2 linked regions of the Styela clava genome follow. Each later gene encodes a partner of the first gene's protein in a complex. Links are inferred from orthologs where the notes say so. Each region holds a gene or a part of one and is shown in the gene's direction. Other genes may lie near its edges.

Region 1 (10,654 bases):
TGCCAGCCATCTGTATCCATCGGAATATGGATTATACCATGCCTAGGGCTGCTGGGCTGGGAATTGTTAACCGGTTAATCAGTTCCCCGATTTTAGATTTAACAGTGATTAGATTTAACGGTCACGATTTGGTTTGATCGTTAACAGACATCTGAGGTACAAATCACAAACCACCTTTTGCATACTGTACGATTTTTTCAAAAAAGATTAATTCATCACAAATTTATCTCCTCCTGTGGCACCAAACACCAACAAAATGTCTCAAGTACAGGTACCGTACCGGTAGGTCATAGGTACCAGTATCGCAAACTACAGAATTCTGGAATTTAGGATAGGATAGGATTTACATATTTATCCCGGGGGAGAGGAAAGCCGATAAGACGGCTTATCCATATGGCGAACCACGGCCTCTCGTCCGGTTACCATTCCAAGTCGGGTATGGGATTAGTTTTACTGTATTGTTTGTTTTCGGAAGCATGGACTTGGTGGTGGAGGAAGCCGTAACCGACCAGCGGTTACGTGAACCACCCAATCTGTTTACTAGGTTTCCGTACTGGTCTAAGGTTACCTACAACGGGACAAGTCTAACATTTGTTAAAAATTAAACATCTGAACATAACATATTGGCCATCTACCTAGGTAAAGCTAGCAGACAGTTACCGGTACCGGTACCGGTACCGGTACCGTACCCGCATCGAACCCGCGGTGCCGTGTACCATGAATTGATCGCAAATAAAATGCACAGTTGTCGCGAATTTACTTACTGTAATTGCGACACGGTGGATGCGATTATAGGGCGATTCCCCTATTTTTAAATCAGAGAAAGACGTAAAATTTAATAAAACAGAGAAAGATTGAAACAATACATTTTGTACTCGGTAAAAAGAATAAATGCCTAGCCGATATAAGTTTTACCCATTTATTGAAATACAGACGAAATCGGTATGTTAGTCGTTGAAGTAGCCTAAGTCTTGACTTGATTTTTTGGGTTTTAAACTTTCAACATCTTCAAATTCAAGAGGAAAGAATTCCGTAGTCTAGGCCCAGTATAGGACATGGCCCACAGATTTACTCATGAAGGGTAGGAACAAATTGGAATTACTTCTTCGGATGAAGGTATTTTTGGCAAGTATGTCGTCAAAGCAGTTTGGTAGCGCATTATTGTAGTAAAAGTCGAATGTTAATGATAATACTGCAAATGCCATCATATCTCCAATTTAACCGTTATGTGCTTTTCATGGATTAATTATGAGAATGCGCGATATACATATAGAGGACTTGCACGGGTCACGTGACATTGTTACTGGACGGCAATAAAACAAAAACGTCCATTTGGCTCCTGTCAGTTGCAAGTCGGATTATACGTTTGCGTTTTGTTTGGTTGTTGAAAATGGTTATTTCGTTGTTCTGTTGGCTGTACGTATAGTATAGACATGGACGAAATGGATCTTCAGTAATATTCCACTGATTTCAAAAGATCCTGAACGTCGCGCAATGTGGATATCATCTATTGCCTATTGGCAGAACTGCTTGGTGTCAAGTCCAGAAGCCATCTTACTTGTGTTTCACTGTTTGCGGACAGCACTTCGTTGATGGTGAGTGATAATGTGGTGATAGTGTGCCGTTATCAATTTCTTTAAATATTCACAAGCTCCCTCATTTCAATGGAAAGCAGATGACAAACTACTGTTATCAGTAGGCCTAGGCGTGGGCCTACTTGCAGTTGCAGACTTGACTTGTGTAAGACAGTAAGGAATTAATAATCAATTGCTGTACTGCTGTAAGGTCTGACAGAAGGTATTGTTTCCTGATTAGCAGGTAATCTATTACTAGGTGTGAAAGGTTGAATATATAACTAAAGTTTAACACCACTGGTCATGCAAAAAATAACCAGAATTCAATTTAATTCGCCATCTAGGAATACGCTCGCCACCGCATCTCTGATCACCCTGGTAGTTTCACAGGTTTCAATCCCATGCGGGGATAGTTATGTGCTAGAGGATTGCAGCTCCACTCCCACCGAGGGTGGTTCACATGGCCGCTGATCGGTTACGACCATTCCCCACCATCCAAGTCCATGCTTCTGAAAACAAATAACTGGCTCCCCCCCCCCCCCCCCAGATAAATCCTATCCTAATGGTGCTTGTACAACTGATTCAAAATGTCTTTTTATTGTCATTGGTAAAAAAGATATGCTACCTACCCGGAATCAAATTCATTTACGACTAGTGGCTGTGGTGGGATATGGACATAAATTTTACCCGGGCTGGGCATTTCCATTCGAATCGAATAGTAAATTATTCGAATCGGTTCAGACTGGAATTTCGAATCGCCGCCATCTTGTTTTTATCTTTCCGCTAATGGTCGAGGTGAATTCCCCAATTTTTTTTTCATTGAAGTCATATTTTTTCAACGAAATTCTAACATATAACTATTTTCTGTAGTGAGTTATTGATAAAACGTGTTTGTTATTCTGTGTGAACGCTCAGTAATCTATCTGAGTGATTTATTCTATGTCTTCAATAATTCATTTGTTGAGAGGACCAATTACTATGATAAAGTCGCTTACAATTTTATATTTTCAAGTATTCGAGATTCGATTCGAAAAAATTATTCGATTCGATTCTGAAATCGAAATGCCCAGCCCTAAATTTCACACTCCTTGATCGTTAGATTTTATGAAAACTCTTATCTGTATCCATTATCTTACAGATATGGGTGCGACCATGGAATAGATGGATGGCAAAGTATAAGTTGCAACAAGACCACAGTGGCACAAGACCTCAGCTTGCGTGACTTGATAATACATCCTCAGTATCCATTTATTGATGCTTATCGTAATGACAAAGTAACTTGTCATTACTGTGGATTGGTGGAGATAAAGTGTCCATTGTGCTTTAACGAAATCAACTTCAAGACGACCCTATCAAGAAAAAAAAATTGTTTCGGTGGGTCTGGTCGTGAAGGTTTCAGTCTAACGATGGACACCGATACTACAACCAGATACAGTTGCCAATGAAACTTAAGCGAGGCGTAATATTGCGACTTTGTGATCTGAAAGGAAATTCTGATGGGTAGCCAGCTAGCCGCAACCTTTTGTTTAAAGAATATTATGAGATACGACTTAAGAGTCTAAACTTTTATTTGAGAGGGGTGTAACCCAAGCTAATTTGCAAATAGTATTCATGGTACCAAATGTATCACACACTTTACAGTAATTATAAATTATATTTGAAAAATAAAGCACATCAAAAATGTATTTTCAAAAAACAATTTCTTTAGTCAAAAGGCACACTTGATTCGCAAAAATTTGTGAATGCGCACAGTACACCAATTTGTCTAATGTTTTGATTCCATAGGCAGGATGTTGTGGATCGGTGCTGCTCAGGATGGGATATTTTTGCCTCTAAATGCATATTATGTGTTTCACATGAATCCATCGTGCTCAGATTCGACTGTTTTCAAGGTCTGAAGGCTCCAACAGCCTTATTTTATGGGTACACAAGAGAATTTTCAGTGTGGCATGCATGGGTCAGTTGGAGTCACTAACCTCAAGATATCTATAAGCAAGGATAAGATAACCTGGAAGTAACATTCCATAATTTAGAGTAAAAAATGTATCTGCCTCCACAGCCCTTTCAAATGAAAGATATGATGCCTCGGGGGTAATTTCTATCAAATATTTTACAGTATTATGGTTCTAGTGAAAAGGGGTGTGGGCGTTTTTTTTTAAGTGTGGTAGGTCTAGTCGAAAGACACATTAAATGTTTATGCTAACAACTGCGAATTAATATTGCAACGCATACAAGTTAACAGAATTTGTTGAAATGGTCCTGCCTTTTTCCTTTCTTCAAAATCCTCCTTTTTCGAACTATTCTCTTCTTCTCTGGGGATGGCGAAAATTCAAATATCGATGGGACCTGTAAGCAGCTGATAATGGGTTATCTTCCCTTTTTCCTGAAAATAAATTAAACACTAATCATCATTTGACAGTGCCAAGTTTGTGTATCAGATCAGTAATAAATTACCTGCTAACTACCAAAATAATCAGACAACACCTTCTGACCATTAATGAAGAGTTCTTTCAATTTAAAACGCAACTATGCCTACCAATGTGGGTAGTTTTTAGGATAGAATTTATCTGTGGTTGGGGACAGATTGCAAGGTGCAACATCGTACGATTACCATTCTATGTCGGGATTAGTTAGCCAGTTATTTGTTTTAGAAGCATGGACTTAATGGTGGGGTATGTCGTAATCGCCCAGCGGTCGTGTGAACCACCCTCAGTGGGAGGAGCTCAATCTCCTCGTCCCCTCGCACATAACTATCCCCGCATGGGATTGGAACCTGTGAAACTCCCATCTGCCCATGGGGATCAGAGATGCGGTGGCGAGCGTATTCTCAGATAGAGAATTCAATTAAATTCTGGTTATTTTTTGCATTAGCACTGGCATTAAACTTTAGTTATCTATTCAAATTTTAACAATTACTAATAGATTACCTGCTAACTAGGGAAACAATACCTTATGGCAATTATTGATTAATATCTTACACGAGTCAAGTCTGCAAGTAGGCCTAAGCCTACCAATAACAGTAGTTTGTCATCTGCTTTCCATTGAAATGAGGGAGCTTATGAATATTTAAAAAAATTGATAACGGCACATCATGACTCACCATCAACGAAGTGCTGTCCGCAAACAGTGAAACACGAGTAAGATGGCTTCTGGACTTGACACCAAGCAGTCCTGCCAATAGATGATATCCACATTGCGCGACGTTCCGGATCTTTTGAAAACAGTGGAATATAGCTGAAGTTCCATTTCGTTGTCTATACTATACGTACAGCCAGCGGAACAATACGAAATAACCATTTTCAACAGCCAAACAAAACGGAAACGTATAATCCGACTTGCAACTGACAGGAGCCAAATGGACGTTTTTGTTTTATTGCCGTCCAGTAACAAGGTCACGTGACCCGTGCAAGTCCTCTATAGGGGTACAAGCTCCAAGTCTTGGATAAAACGCACATTGTGAAAATGGGGTACGATGAGGTAGGGTATAGTTAGGAAACTAAAATATGAAGGGTGAGTATGTTTTTTGGATGGATAAATTTTGAAGGGAGAAGACCATCGTCCGTCACTTTGCGAAGTTCTGAAAAGTTTGGTGAGAGTTCCACTTTGGGTGGACTGTGCCAGCTTCCCAATACCAGGCGCGGCGGTGTGGCTCAACGGGCTAAGCGTTAGGAATACGCTCGCCACCGCACCTCTAATTACTCTGCGTGGGTTCGCAGGTTCGAATCCTATGCAGGGATGGTTATGTGCGAGAGGATTGCTGGACTCCTCGCCGTCGTTGGGTGGTTCACGTAACCGCTGGTCGGTTACGGCTTCCTCCACCACCAAGTCCATGCTTCCGAAAACAAACAATACAGTAAAACTAATCCCATACCCGACTTGGAATGGTAACCGGACGAGAGGCCGTGGTTCGCCATATGGATAAGCCGTCTTATCGGCTTTCCTCTCCCCCGGGATAAATATGTAAATCCTATCCTATCCTATATACGCGAAAGAGTCACGAGGGATGCGAACCTGCAGGGTAATCAGATGTGCGGGGACAAGCGTATTCCTGACGCTTAGCACGTCTGAGCCCTAATTTGAACTATTGAAAAAAAACAGTTGTTGACTAGTGTCGATATGTGCATGGAGGAGTTGCATCCTTTAACTAAAGTTACCGTATCTTATTTCCAATGGCTTGGAAATATTACTCCATCTTTTTTCGTTGTAAAGGTATGAGTCTCCCAAATTTAAGTATTTGTAAAATTAATGAAAATAGAAAATCGTTCTGATACGAAAACCTACTCAAAATGTTTGTTTGAAACTTGCACCCTTGTTTGTGACTCGAAGCAAATGCACCTTCCTCTATTTTTTGTAGGTTTTTTCGCCTTTTCAATATATGTCTCGGGTTCAATGAACTTAGGACACGTGCCTGTCACGCATGAATGGTGTGGGAGTCTGACGGCGACATATGTTTGTGCATTTAATTGTTTTGTAGCAAGTAGATTACTCTTTAGAAAGTTCCTCCCGTTCTCTCGTCCTGATTTTGAATATTCTATTGTAGCAGCGTATCGATAGTCTGAAGAAATAATGGCTAACGACGATAGCAAGCAGGTGGGTGATTATGATGGGTATGGTACGGTATCGTATGGCGCGGCGCTGTGGCTCAACGGGCTAGAGTGGAAGTGGTGACTCCTCTACGGCCCATGGGCCGGGGCCACGGCCCATCGAAATCGGCCTCGGCCCATCAATTTTTGTAAAGGGATAAAATAATAAAAACTAATAAATATGTAAATCCTACCCACTCCCCGAACTCATAATAGAACTAGGCCTATAATGTGAAAAATCTGAACAAAATTTTGTCCTAACCCTAACCTGGTAGACTACACAAACTTCAGGTGTATCCTTTTCTGTAGCTTGGTATTTTGCTTTATTTTTATTTAAAGGCTTATTGTAAGAAAAAGGTTTGGTGGCATACTGGCATCCCGCGATTTTTTTTTGGTTCGAATATAATTGAAAATTTTGGCAAGATAATTGAATTTTTTTTGATGGACCGCGGCCCATAGCTTGATGGGCCACGGCCCATGTGGCCCAATTAGATGGGCCCCGGCCCATGGGCTGTAGAGGAGTCACCACCCCTGTAGACGGGCTAAGCATTAGGAATACGCTCGCCACCGCAACTCTAATTACTCTGCGTTGGTTCGCAGGTTCGAATCCCATGTAGGGATAGTTATGTGCGAGAGGATTTCTGGACTCCTCGCCGTCGTTGGGTGGTTCACGTAACCGCTGGTCGGTTACGGCTTCCTCCACCACCAAGTCCATGCTTCCGAAAACAAACAATATAACTAATCCCATACCCGACTTGGAATGGTAACCGGACGAGAGGCCGTGGTTCGCCATATGGATAAGCCGTCTTATCGGCTTTCCTCTCCCCGGGATAAATATGTAAATCCTATCCTAAATCCTACTAAACATATTCTTGCATAGCAATCTGCGCAGTACGGTGTTGTTTGGATAATTACTCGCAGAATTTTGGGTTCGATATTTTCCCAAAATGTGTAAGATTGAATCGAAAGAACTCAATTTATCAATCGATAAATTGTTCTATCTGATTTCTAACACTTGGGTAGACTACATAAAATCATATATTTACGTTACCCGGTTAGTCAATTCAAGGTTTTTGTAATATCACATGGATGTTAACGTGGAATCAGCATACAGCTGCACAGAGATCATGCATGAAATTTTGCAAAATTTTTTTTCCTTACTACATTCTCACGACGACGACAATGTTTGACTGACATTCTACAATGTATAAATTATGCCATGCTCACTTTTTATTATTCATATATTCATAGGAGGAAAAACCATTCAAGGTGGAAAAGTGGGACCATAATGCAGTGAGAATTGCATTGGATGATGCTGCTAAAAAGGTTTGTTCTCTTCCTTAATTAAATTTCCAGTTTGACCGTCTATTTCTTAAAATCTTATAATGAAACAATTAATTGTTTCAGATTTATATTTCCAAGCTTCCAGCCATGTTTTTAAGAAAATTGTGAGGCCTGTACATTTTATATATTCCAATTTAAGTGTACCACGGTAGTCTACCACGCGAACATTTTTTTCTAATCACCAATGCTCTCAAATACCTAAACTCATTAAAATGAACTAGTAATTCGTATTTTGCATTCAGATAATCCTCGACAACCTTGGTTATCAAGAAGACTTCAAGTTAATTGATACTCGCCTGGCAATATGTACAACTGCTGTTTTATTTGCATTATTTGCCTTACTTTGGGATTATCTTCATCCTTTCCCAGCATCAAGGCCTGTTATTATACTTTGTGTGGTAAGCACGTTTTTATTAAGCTTTAGGTACTCGAAAAAAACAGTTGGGGATATCCTGATAATTTGGTTCATACAAAATTTGAAATTAACTTATTTCAAAAAGATTTATTTTAAGAATTCTGAATTTTTTTCTTTTTTTAATTGGTAAATCAGTGAGTCATGTCCAATTCTAAATGAATTTGATAGAAAAATAGAATATTAAGATCCTAAATTTATGGATATGGACAATACCAGAAGTAAGAGGAATATTTGTGTTTGAAAGCTTATAATATTGGTAAGTTCTTAGACTTGTTTTCCGGAATTTTAGAGTATATATAATTTATTTATTGTTTTACTAAAATATTGCTGCCATTTGGTCATTTCTCTCTATAATAATAGAAGTTTTGATACATTATATGTCAGTTTTCACTTGACACATTTTAGGTCTCATATTTCGTCCTTATGGGAGTCTTAACAGCTTATGCCAACTTTGTTGAGAAGAATGTATTTTTGCTTGCAAGAGAGAAGGATATAGCAGGTGTAGATCCAGACATTGTCTGGACTCTATCATCGACAATGCCGAAGTGAGTAGTATTTATTATATATACATTGCAAGATATAACTGATGGACATCTGTATTGTAGGAACAAGTGAAGTGGATCTCAGAACCAAATATTCCATTCTAGTGTACATTTGTATGTTCTTGTTGTGTTAATTTCCTGTCTATTCTGAATATGTAGGTTCGAGTACAGTTCTCATAAAGTTAGATTACAATTTTATCTCAAATTTGTTGATAGATATGTGGCCCTTTTTGGGAAAGGTGATGAAAAGTGCAAATGGATGTTGTCAATTTTTTCCGCTGATTACTAATCAACTTATTATAATATAAAAACTATTTCGAGTAAGCCTTAGTGTTGCTCAGTTAAAAACCATCATTGTGTATAATACAATTATGATATCAGAATTTCTTGATTAAACTACATGAGATATGTAAATAACAGGTATGATGAAAACTACACACTGCAAATAGTCGTTAAAGACCCACAAGGTGAAGAGCGAAAAGCAGAACTGACAAAATCTGCTGGAGAATATTTTGATGAGAATGGCCAACTCATGGATAGCTTTGAAATAAAGGTCATGGAGCTACATCGGTCCCTATCACAAAAGAAAAAGGCCCAATGAAATGAATACTGTTTATTTTTACTAGTTCATTTGGTTTCCTCGAAAGTTGTCATTTGTTGTGTCCCTCTTTGCAGAATCCGAACAGATTTGATGGTTAAGAAATAATTTCATTTTTCGCCATTGGGCGAGGCTCTCCACAACTAATCACTAAATATGTCCTGTCTGAACGACTTCATTACTGTATCAACATGGCTTAAAGTAAATTACCACTCTTGTAACAATAATTTGCCTGCAAATGTTGAGATTTTATATGGCGATTCATAGTATCTGTTCGTTTTATGTATTCTCTCCCATATGGGGTTCCTGTATTCATTTTGCCATTCAAGATTCCTCCTCATTGTACCAGTCAGCATTGTTTACTACTTTCATTGTTTGACCAATCATGTTATGTTTTACTTGACTGTTTAGGGAAACAACATTTCATGTTTGCTGCTACCTAAGTTGGAAGCGAGGTTATATTTCAGTTACCAGTCAATGCTTCTTTCCAAATGTGCATTTCTATTTTTTCTTTTACACCTAGGTCAGGTGGAATAACCTGGTAATGTATGGTAAAATAGCTTCCACAGGAACATTCTTGCCCTTTTAAGTGTTGATGTATTCAATTTGCAAATGTGAAGAGTTACAGTAATGTTAGAATTGAAAATCATTAATTAAGCAAATTTTTTAATGCTTTGCTTTTGAAGATATGCAGTGAATGATTGAATATACTCAGAAATGCACAGAATATAATGAACGAAAAGTGAAATTTGACTATAGTAAGTTAAATTAAAGATAGACAGACACTTGAAAAATGTTAGTTAAAAAAGTTATTGTAGGTAATACTAATACCATTAACAATTTGATTTACCCTTTGCTTGACAACATCTGGTAAATTTGAGGAAAATTAGAGCGGCTATCATTTGGATCATTCTGGTAGAATAGGATTTACATATTTATCCAGGGAAGAGGAAACCCGATTAGACGACTTAATTGAGTGATGAACCCTGGAAGCCTCTGGTCGGGTTACCAGTCCATGTGGGGTACGCGATTAGTAGATGGACTGTTGTGATTGGTGGAGATTATCGAACACGAGAGTGAGACCTTTTTGTTTTTAGACACAACTGGTCGTAGTAATGCGGGGAGAGATTAAAGTAAGATATATGTGAAAAATGCTAAAGGTGTTGTAGTCTTATTTGCGGTATTTTCCTGATGATGTCTTCAACGTCGTTAGGACCGACTTCATGCTCCTTTTGTCTTGTGCGATTGTTGGGCAGTACGAGTCTGTGTGTGCTTTATCTCCTGTTGCACCACAATGCTTGCATCTGTACCTAATAACAAGTATAAAATGCTTGAAATAAGATTTTTGCTTGTATTCTCAATGATATGACGAACCAACGCCTCTTAGTAAGAAATGGGAGTATTCGGTTGATTAATCAGACGTGTGGCCTTTCATGTTTTAGGATTTTCATATTTATCCCGGGGGAAAGACTTATCTTATAGCCACGGTGGAGGAGGCCGTGATCGGCCAGAGGTTAAGCGAACCACCATACGGTAGGAATCCTCACGTGCATGATTATGCGATAGCAAGCGTATTCCTAATGCTCAGCACGCTGCTC
Region 2 (10,588 bases), about 4.0 Mb from region 1:
CAGTATTTTTGAAAAAACAGTTTATTGTATGCAATGAATTATAATGATGGTTTAGACTTTAGAACAAATATCCTATTTTACAGGCGCCAACTCACGCTACCACTCTTAAAATAAGCCCCGAAAATTTTATAATAGTAAAGTATGGAGCTTTCCCCGAGCATCGACTTCCTTGTTTACTTCGTGACATTGGCCAATCAGCAAGATGGAAAAAATGACGTTACAATGCTCCCTTTTTGCATCCGCTCAGACACTGTCCTCACTCAGACAGATTTTCAAGAGTGGTCGTAAACATTACCTCGTTTTCGCGTTTTTGGGCTCTATTTACCGGTACTTTTAACAAACAGAATATTTTGTGCGATGAATCCTAATGATGGTTTGAAACAAATGCCCCATTTTACAGGCGCCAACTCATAGCCCCAAAAATTTTCCGTGGGTCAGAGGTTGGGGAAAGGTTCATAGAAGGAAAATTTTCGGGGGTCAAAGGTCGGTTTTGTTTGTAGAATTCGTGTTATAGCATATAGTCTATATACACCTCAATGGATCTGAGCTGTCGGGCAAAAGCAGCAAAATATAGTAATCTAGTCAGGTGGTTCACTAGTCCACAGTCAGCCTTTTGTCATGTAGTACAAAGCGTAAATAATGTGGTACGTACCGGTACAGTAGTTGATGTAGAATTGAGCAAGTCATTAGAAATAGTCTTGTCCTACTTCCTGTCGCCTGTCTGACTCTTTCCTAAGCCTGTAAGTACCGAACCACCTAGAGGAGGCGTTTGGCTCATTGTGCTAAGCGTTAGGAATACCAAATATGTTTGCCACTGAACCTCAGATTACTGGATTACGGTACTCTGCGTGGGTTCGCTATATGGTTAAGCCGTCTTATCGGCTTTCCTTTCCTATTGATAAATATGTAAACCCTATCCAGGTATCCGCCACCTCTTTTTCCATTTATGATAGACTAACGTTATCTATGTAACTAAAATGACAGACTAATGTGAGACGGTACCGGTACCGGTATTCCCTTTACCCCCCATTTATAATAAATCAGAATTTCAAAGATACGATAATCTAACCACCTGCTGGTCTCTATTGCAGTATTCAGGTATTGGTTATCTCCTCTCTATTATTTATTTTCTTTACAGTTAAAATTGCCTCATTAATTCCATATACAGATATAGGCCTAACTGTATAGTGTGCAGAATCATTTGTAAAATGGATCCGACAACACATTATCTACTCTCGAGTATAAATACATTCATTCTGGTGCCTATCACCTTCCTGTGTCGTATACTTCTATTATTTATCATTGTTATCTTATGTCGCAGATGGCAAGTTTCAAGCAAGAAAATGTCAAAAGTTACAGTTGTTGTTCTTGGTGATATAGGACGAAGTCCACGAATGCAATATCATGCTTTGTCATTAGAAAAACATGGTTTTCATGTGGACATTGTTGGTTATGGTGACTCAACCCCGAGTCAAAAGATTCTAGACAGCAAACGAATTGTATTACATAGCCTCACAAAAGATACTTTTTCTAATTACTTTCCTCGATTATTTGCCTACTTCGTTAAAGTGATTATGCAGTCTTTAATACTCAGCACAAAGCTGCTCTTTAAAGTTGGTGCATCTGAATATATTTTCATGCAAAATCCGCCCTGCATCCCTTGTATGTTCATATGCTGGCTATTTGGGATTTTTAACGGCAGCAAAGTCATCATTGACTGGCATAATTATGGTTATACTATACTTGGTATGAGTTTGGGAAAAAATCATAAATTGGTCAGACTGGCACATTGGTATGAAAAAGTTGTTGGTCAGCTGGTGTATAGTGATATATGTGTCACCAAAGCAATGCAGAAAGACCTGGAGGATAACTGGCACATACATGCCATTGTACTTTATGATAGACCACCTGAAATCTTCAAGCCATTGAGTATCAATGAGAAGCATGATCTTTTCTCAAAATTGAAACATGAATATCCTGAGTTTGGTTTTAGCCCTAATGACGATAGCACATTTTGTACTATTTCAAAAGATGGGAGTGTCACAGCAAGAGATAATCGTCCTGCTTTCATCGTAAGCAGTACAAGTTGGACAGAAGATGAAGATTTTTCCATATTACTAAATGCTCTAAAAATGTACGATAAAACAAAATTGAATAATGAAAATTTACCGGATGTTATATGTGCTATCACTGGCAAAGGGCCGATGAAGAAATATTATTTGAATGAAATTAGTAAAATTGACTGGAAACACGTTCAAATAGTCACACCATGGTTGACAGCAGAAGATTATCCCTTATTAATTGGGAGTGCTGATCTTGGAGTATGCCTACATACTTCATCCAGTGGCCTTGACTTGCCAATGAAAGTCGTAGACATGTTCGGTTGTGGTGTGCCAGTTGCTGCAATAGGGTTTAACTGTCTTGAGGAGTTGGTGCAAGACAACATAAATGGTGTAATTTTTAACAATGAAAATACTCTGCATGATCAGCTATGTGAACTGCTAGACGGCTTTCCTCGAAACCAACAAACTTTAACAAATATGAGAAATAATTTGAAAATGTTTCGTCAATCAACTTGGTCGAAAAATTGGGATGAAATTGTGCTGCCATTGTTCAAGTCGTAATATTTATTACTTCATTTGTCTAATATTTTTCAATCATTGGATGGATGAAATTCCCATTTGTTCTTTCTGTTCCCCCATACATTATCTAGCTATCACTCTGTTGTACTTATATTTGTTAGTTAATGTATTTTTTGTAGCATGATTGTAAATGTTTAATTCAATGTGTTGTACTTGTGACATGTTTTTTACGAACAATGTATAAAAAAAAATCTAGTTGACAGCAGACATTAATTTATCACAAAATGTTACCCGAACCAATGGGGTTTCTTACAACCAGGGCTGGGGAGCTGGTTCGAAATCATGATGGCTCCGGCTCCAGCGTCGCAGTGTATTCAATCTTTAGCTCCAACTCCGGCTCCGGAGCTTCATTTTTTTAATGCCGGAGCTGGCAGTGCAGCCCAATAACGCATTTTGCTAATTGTTTTCTAAGTGTGGCATGTTATTTTGGCTGTAAACACCCTTCAAGTCGGTGTCATGATAATTCCTTTTTGTTCCTGCATGTAACTTGTGAATCCACTGAGAGTTATTATATGGTGTATTTCCGGGCGAATCGGTCTACCCCGCATATAAGGGTTTTACATATAACCCCACAATAAGACGGGAAGGAAAATCGGCTTCTGGAATGGTCGCAGCGTTTGCGCATTCGGTAAAATAGCTCATAATGACTTTTTCTACCACATAATATTTAACCCATAATAACTGTCTTTTTATTTTAATTTAATTGTGTTCAACATAACTGGCAATCATGCAGCCAAATAAAATCTGTCGTGGGCCATTCTAAAGCAAAACTTATGGTGTTTTCTGTTTTATTTTTAGTATTTTCTAATGTCGCTTTTTAATCAGGAAAATTTGGTTTGCGTATTGACTTCTTTATTTATCTTAGAATTTCATCACCGATGATTATGTAATAACTCGTTTTCTCACAAATATGGTGAGTTATTATAAGATACTAAAATGAAACGGAAAACACTATAAACTTTGTTCTCGGAGACTCCCAACAGCTAAAAAAAAATGCCTTGTTAATCTCATTATTTTTTTTGCCTACGACATATTATTTACCGGTTGACTTTGAAAATTATACAGTCACTAAAATAAATCTAAACGCAATCAATCTTACTCGCGATATACTTTTTATATATTCAAAAAATAACAACGGAAATTGATGAGACTTTTCTCCAGAACATGCTATGTTATGGATCAAAACAAGATATACCGTAATGGGGCACTTTGCCATACATTTTTATGATAGGTGACTGCTGCGGTGCATTTTGGAGTAGCTAAACCTTTCTTTTGTCGTGAAACGACTCAATCTCGAGATACGTTGAACAGAATTGAAGACATTTGAAATGGATTGGATATTCAACGCCACGAAAAAATCATAATATGTTACATGGAAATTCCAAAATCACTTCTTCGAAAATCCCTGGCCATTAGGGTTTTTGAGCTTGACCGCAATCATGAAAAATTGCAGCTTAGTGGAAATGAGAATCAAGATTTTGATAAAAGCGAACCGCTTCAAATTTTGATACTAAACTTTCAAACATACAGAATAACTGGAAACTTTTCAAAAAATATTAGGAACTAAAATTTTTAAAATGAATTATAAGCTGAAAAGAAAAGATTTTATCATTTGTAACGCTATCAGAAAAAAATTATAAATTTGAAAAACAAAAAATGAGATATTTAGGAGCTGGAGCCTGGAGCCACTAAATTTTTGGTAGCTCCGGCTCCGACTCCAGCTCCATCTGTTATGAAAAGCTTGGCTCCAACTCCGACTCCAGCTCCGGCGCCCCAGCCCTGCTTACAACAGACCGTTTTAACTAAATTAAACAATCATGCCATGTGCAACAAGCATTTAGCTATTGCAATAGAGATGCTGCTGTTGCAATCCATACTAGAAATAATCCAAGAGCAGACACTATTGCTTAGATTAGAATGAGCCAGGCAGGCACAGAGTAAAGTCTTTTGCATTTCTAAGTAGTTGTTTGATTTGCTGCAATATACTGATGAAACCCAAATTAAATATTATTAGTAGAGAAGCAATTATTTTAAACCATCCTGAGGTCATCTCTTGCTGCTTTCACAGTTTGAATGCAAAACTAGATATGTCACAAATGAATGAATTTGCAGCGTAGGAACATTGTTAACAATCCATCACAGATCATATATATGTAGCTTTCGCCCACAAAAAGTAAATCATGCCTGGCTTACAAGCTGAACCCTGAGAATGAGAATACTTCTATAAATCTATACTGCAACTAACTTCAATCCGGCTGTTAATTTCATCTATAAGTGTAATTTCAACAAGTCCATGGTTAAGATTTAGATTCAACTTTTTAATGGACATAAAAGAAATATTAGAGTGAGATAATTTTGAACAAAGCAAGAGCACAAAATGATATTTTTTATTGTTTGACAACTTCTCCAGTTGAGCTGTCCGAAGTAACTTTCTCAAGCATTTCTGTACGAGTTTTGATGTAGGGACGCCTACTACGATACCATCTCGAGACATTTCTTGTTCTTTTAATTTTCTTCTGCAGTTGAAGAATTCCGTATAGAAGGGCTTCCGCACTTGGTGGACATCCGGGAACGTAAATATCTACTGGCACGATTCTATCACAACCCCTTACAACAGAATAAGCGTAATGATAATACCCTCCACCATTGGCACAACTTCCCATCGATAGTACCCATTTGGGATCAGGCATTTGATCATATACCATGCGTAATGCAGGTGCCATCTTATTTGTTAAAGTTCCAGCCACAATCATAAGATCAACTTGGCGAGGGCTTGCTCTAAATACAACACCGAATCGATCCATGTCGTACCTGAAATACAAATTGATTAATAGAACAGACAATACACAAATTGGGCGGAATGTAATTTTGGTTATTTAGTATTCATCAACGTCAAGCAGATTCTAATTTGTGAATGTCTTGAAGAAAACTTCATTTTCATAAACATAATGTTGAAAATGGTTTTAATCGAGTCAATCCATTATATCTGTATATAGATACAGTACACAGTCACACTTATTTGTACAGTCTTCTTTTGAAAATAGGATAGGATAGGATTTACATATTTATCCCAGGGGAGAGGAAAGCCGATAAGACGGCTTATCCATATGGCGAACCACGGCCTCTCGTCCGGTTACCATTCCAAGTCGGGTATGGGATTAGTTATATTGTTTGTTTTCGGAAGCATGGACTTGGTGGTGGAGGAAGCCGTAACCGACCAGCGGTTACGTGAACCACCCAACGACGGCGAGGAGTCCAGCAATCCTCTCGCACATAACCATCCCTGCATGGGATTCGAACCTGCGAACCCATGCAGAGTAATTAGAGGTGCGGTGGCGAGCGTATTCCTAACGCTTAGCCCGTTGAGCCACACCACCGCGCCTATCAAATCAACAACAATACCAAGATAGGTATTTCCGTTGCATTTATACTGTTAGGCCTGTATCATATACAATTACTTTCAAGTCTGAAACATCCCAAAATATATAAAACATAATAGTCTTGCATCATTTTTTTCAACAAATGTGTTAGAAAGTAATACAACGAGAAATGTTGAAAGGCTAAGGTGGCGAATCTAGAAACGAAAAAGGACTACAACAATCATAATTATATGTCGAATTTTACATTATTCATCGAAAAGTATTGGATTTATACACTGGTGTAAGAAAACAATTATTTGTTTAAAACAAAGATTCACCTTGGGGCAGCAAAATGCATCATCTCCACAGCACAGCAGGCTAGTCCAAAAGTCATAGGCCATAATGTGTTGGAACGGATGTGACCAATAAGATCATCAACCCTAGCTGTAAAATATTCAGCTCTGTCTGGTGCATGCATCAACTTTGAAATTTCTTGTCGTAACGGCTGCGCTGCTTGGGAAGGTTCGGTTACTGAAGGCTTTTTGTCAGTTTCCGCTGTGTGATTCACATGCAACGTTCTTGCGCAAACCCTTGAACTAAACCACCGAGAAACTCCCCAAAATGATGAATGTCGTATTAGTGAAGCCATGTTTCTCTTGAATGTCCGAAGAGATACAACGTTTACATCATTACCAAAAACGAATCACACGAAACCTTGAAGACAGCGACGAACTCACAACACCTAGCGATCGACTTGGAATTTGTTGCTGTTCTTCAGTACTCCTCTCGATCACGTGACTGTGTCAAAGAGTATATATCACGGTCAAAGATCAAATTTACTGGTAGACATACACTACATTGCAACCCCAACGCAGTTCAGGGAGAGTATTTATTTAGGCAAATGGATAAATAAGATTCGATACGACAGAATAATTATATGAAGAATGTAGGGCAATCGCTGTGTCTTTTCGACGGAATTTTTAAATTAATGGTTTGTGTGAAGAGGTACAGTACTAATCATCCATGCAAATAATCATTCAGATGTGCCCGTACTTGTATAAAGTGTTTTGACACCAACTATATTAAAAATATGAAAAAATTAAAAACGTATAATACGCCAGAAAAACGTTTTGGTAAAGTACCGATTAAGCCACTAACAGTACAGTATTCAGATTTGAGGCGAACGTGGCCATTACACATCTGTTGCCAGAAATTCGCTAAAAAAATTGTGACAAATACCAATTTGTGGAAATAATATAGGAAAAAATATTAAAAATCAAATTTACATCCTGAAATATTTTTTTTTGCACAAAATTCGCTTCATTTACAGATCTAAAAACGCATTTTCCTAATATTTTTTGACAAAGTTCCAATGCGTACATTGATGGTCGAACTGTCAATCATATTCCAGACTTTAAAGATTTATGCATGTATGATGTGTGCCTCATGTCTGAAACCTGGAAACTGTGGAAGCAAGTTTGTTATTTGCGTTCGTAGGGTTGAAGCGCCTTGTTTTACTTTAGTAGTGCAGTAGTGCGCGCAAATATATACGGTATGATACGACGTGTTTACTCTTATTCTTTTTTAAATCATTTTTAGTCCGTATTCGTGAATTAGATTAGAAATAACATTCAAAATGGGATTATTCGACAGCATTCCGACACATATGGTAAGTCCCATATTTAATATTTCACTTGTAAGTAAAATGAGGAATTTGTTAATGGATTAAGTTATGTATGACAATAACTCATGGAAGGTAAATCATCTGGTTATTGAGTGTGTCTGTGTGTGTACAACATGCCAGAAGAGTTATGGTAATGTCAGAATGTGGGAGTAGGTATAGGCTACACAGATACAGCTATTTTTCATCAAAGCTTCCCAAATTCAGAGATCATAATCCACTCAGCCATTGATTTGAGTGCAGACTTATATAAAGCTTTAATGTATTTCCATTTACAATATATATTTGCTTTCAGGATTATCAAGGACAAAAACTGTCCGAACAACTGTTCCAGGTTCTTGCAGTGACATTTGGAGTGAGTATTTTCTGAAAGCACTTTCATTTTATTAATCTCAACTGCTTGGATACGTACCCACACAATAATAATTTGACCCCACAAAGAGTCAAATTCGAAGGAGCATGATCATACATACGCAATAAGATTGCTGAATTTGATGGCGTAAAGTTGTTTAACTTCTTATTTAGTTGATGCCCAATCCACCATGTTTAAGTAGTTGAAAATTTACATTCTTTATTGAGTAACCGGACGAGAGGTTCAGTTCTTACAGCATTGTCAAGATAATGGAAAATCCAATGCTTATATGCACGAGTGACATTTGGTTTGTTTTGCAGGTCATCGGCTTTATTGTGGGATACATGTTTCAACAGATGTCGTATATGATGTACATACTGGCAGCTGGGTGTGCCCTGGGATGTTTGGTAAGAGGAAATAAGCTAAAATAAAATAGTACAGCCTGGTATGATTGTGCACATGAGTACATATGTGCAAATGGGTGTAAAAAATTTAGTACGGCCCGAATGGAAAACTAAGAACCCTTGCTGAACATCATGTATCAAAGGAATCTTATGTAAATGTATATATGTAAATGTATATCAAATTTATGCTATCTACCAGAAAAATTTTCCATGTATTTTACACATTAAATTGGGTGAAAAAGTTTAATCAATCAAGTGCAGCCTGTGCATCAATACCTCTAAATAGGCAGTTTTAATGTCGATCACTGCAAGATAAAGTCTTTATTGTCAATGAGAAGCATATTAATTCTCAACGCTGTTACAGAATTTACCAGGACTCCTACCGTTGTACACAAATAAGTTCCTTCCATCATATAGATTTGATAATTCATCTAAAGTTTTTTATTTCAGTTAACATTGCCACCTTGGCCCATGTATAGGAGAAATCCGATCAAGTGGCAGAAGCCTCAACCAGAGATGGAATCTTCACAATCCCAACAACAACAACAAAAGGGAAGCAAGAAGAAGCAAAAATAAAAATATCTTCATTGCCATTTGGGCACGAGAAAAGAAGAATTTTCGTCTACCTTACATAGAACAGGAAATGGAATATTATATGCTAATGAATGTGAAGTCCAGATTTATGCAGTGACTGCTTTATTTTATTGTGTCTTATATTATATATAAGTCTTCTTGCCGGATGGTGCAACTGTATAATATTGGTCTTTTTTGTTGTTGTGAGGAATCGAGATGTCAGCAATAGTGAAAGAAACAGATCGTGCCCATGTTTTGCTCAGAGCCTGGCAATAGCTATTTGGCTAGATCAGGGGTGGGCAACCTTTTTCGGCTTGCTTGCCAAATCGGCTAAATTGAACGATAAAATTCTCCCGCGTGCCGACCAAAATTAAAAACAATGCTTTGCTACTTTCAAAGCAAAAATACACAATAATAAACCTTTTAAACATGTAGACCTACAGACATATTTGCTATTCGGAATAGATTCGATTACTTTGCTTATTCTATATCAGTGAGACTTCTGCTGTTGCATTACCACTGATAGAAATTTTACATTGGGTTTATATTTTGTAACTTTCAAAGGAGTACATGAACTACTGGTTTCATCTTTCATGCTACTCCTATTATGAGACTTAATAAAGTTCATGACTGGGAACAAGATATTCACAAGCATATGTAGATAAAAACACGGAAAGTAATGCAGTTGCATAGTTTATAAGACACGAAAATTTTTTGGGAATGGCATCCCAATCTCGCAATGGTTTGTTTTCTGCACTTCTCTCTTGTATTCCCTTCCCTAATCGCTTATATTTCTTTCGAAATCCATTCATAACAGTAAGTTAGCAAGTAACTCTAACCAAATGAAGAAAAAGGGCATATTACGTAACAAAGTAGCCAAAGAATGCTGCTTTGTTCTCGACAAAATTTCTCTAAAGCTCATTTATTTGTTACGTCATAACATATTTCTTTGTAGCCATAAAATGAGTTTAAAGAACGGATTGTTAAAAAAGCGATACATAATGAATAAACGAACACAGTTTCATCAGATAATTAAGAGTCTCGAAACTTTTTATCTAACGGAGAATGATCTCGTTTCTGAGGCCTCTTTCGTGTGCTGAATAAACGGGCTCACGTGCCAGGGGTTGCCCACCGCTGGGCTAGATAATTATGGCATCGAGAAAGTCGAAGTGGTTTGCATAACTTGTATATACAGTGCAGTATATTCTGAACACTAAAAGCAAAAGCCCACCTTATAAGCCGACTCAAGAAAGAGAAAGTGGTCTGCATAACTTATGTAGAAAAGGCTTAAACACTACAAGCTGACCCAATAGATATTTGGTTGATAGTCAGGACATCAAGAATGAAAAAGTGATCTGTATAACATATGTAGAAGGCAGTATATTTTGAACACTACAAGCTGGCTGTCCTGCCTCCTAACCCAAAAGAAACAAATAGAAACCTTATCTCTGGCTTGAAATATATATTCAAAGCATTCATTTGGGTACATGTGTGAATGACAACCAATAATCACTCTATTGTAAATTTCGACCTTTATCTTGATGCATTGCGCTGTCATGTTGCAGTTCCTCCGCCTT

What was found.
Region 2: signal peptidase complex subunit 2-like (region 1) and signal peptidase complex subunit 1-like share a complex: the UniProt entries of both Drosophila melanogaster proteins name them as parts of the signal peptidase complex. The link is inferred for Styela clava from reciprocal best matches to the Drosophila melanogaster genes Spase25 and Spase12.

Annotation. Positions count from the first base shown.
Region 1 is NC_135256.1:9,465,688-9,476,341, reverse strand, and holds signal peptidase complex subunit 2-like, read left to right. Parts: upstream 1-5,988; 5' UTR 5,989-6,140; coding exon 6,141-6,164; intron 6,165-7,408; coding exon 7,409-7,483; intron 7,484-7,743; coding exon 7,744-7,899; intron 7,900-8,321; coding exon 8,322-8,461; intron 8,462-8,878; coding exon 8,879-9,059; 3' UTR 9,060-9,804; downstream 9,805-10,654. Other genes in the region: uncharacterized protein LOC120329088, read right to left, coding at 10,228-10,366. UniProt on the Drosophila melanogaster protein: Component of the signal peptidase complex (SPC) which catalyzes the cleavage of N-terminal signal sequences from nascent proteins as they are translocated into the lumen of the endoplasmic reticulum.
Region 2 is NC_135256.1:13,506,746-13,517,333, reverse strand, and holds signal peptidase complex subunit 1-like, read left to right. Parts: upstream 1-7,512; 5' UTR 7,513-7,637; coding exon 7,638-7,670; intron 7,671-7,977; coding exon 7,978-8,037; intron 8,038-8,354; coding exon 8,355-8,441; intron 8,442-8,888; coding exon 8,889-9,014; 3' UTR 9,015-9,194; downstream 9,195-10,588. Other genes in the region: chitobiosyldiphosphodolichol beta-mannosyltransferase-like, read left to right, coding at 1,209-2,624; NADH-quinone oxidoreductase subunit B-like, read right to left, coding at 5,030-5,453, 6,340-6,650. UniProt on the Drosophila melanogaster protein: Component of the signal peptidase complex (SPC) which catalyzes the cleavage of N-terminal signal sequences from nascent proteins as they are translocated into the lumen of the endoplasmic reticulum.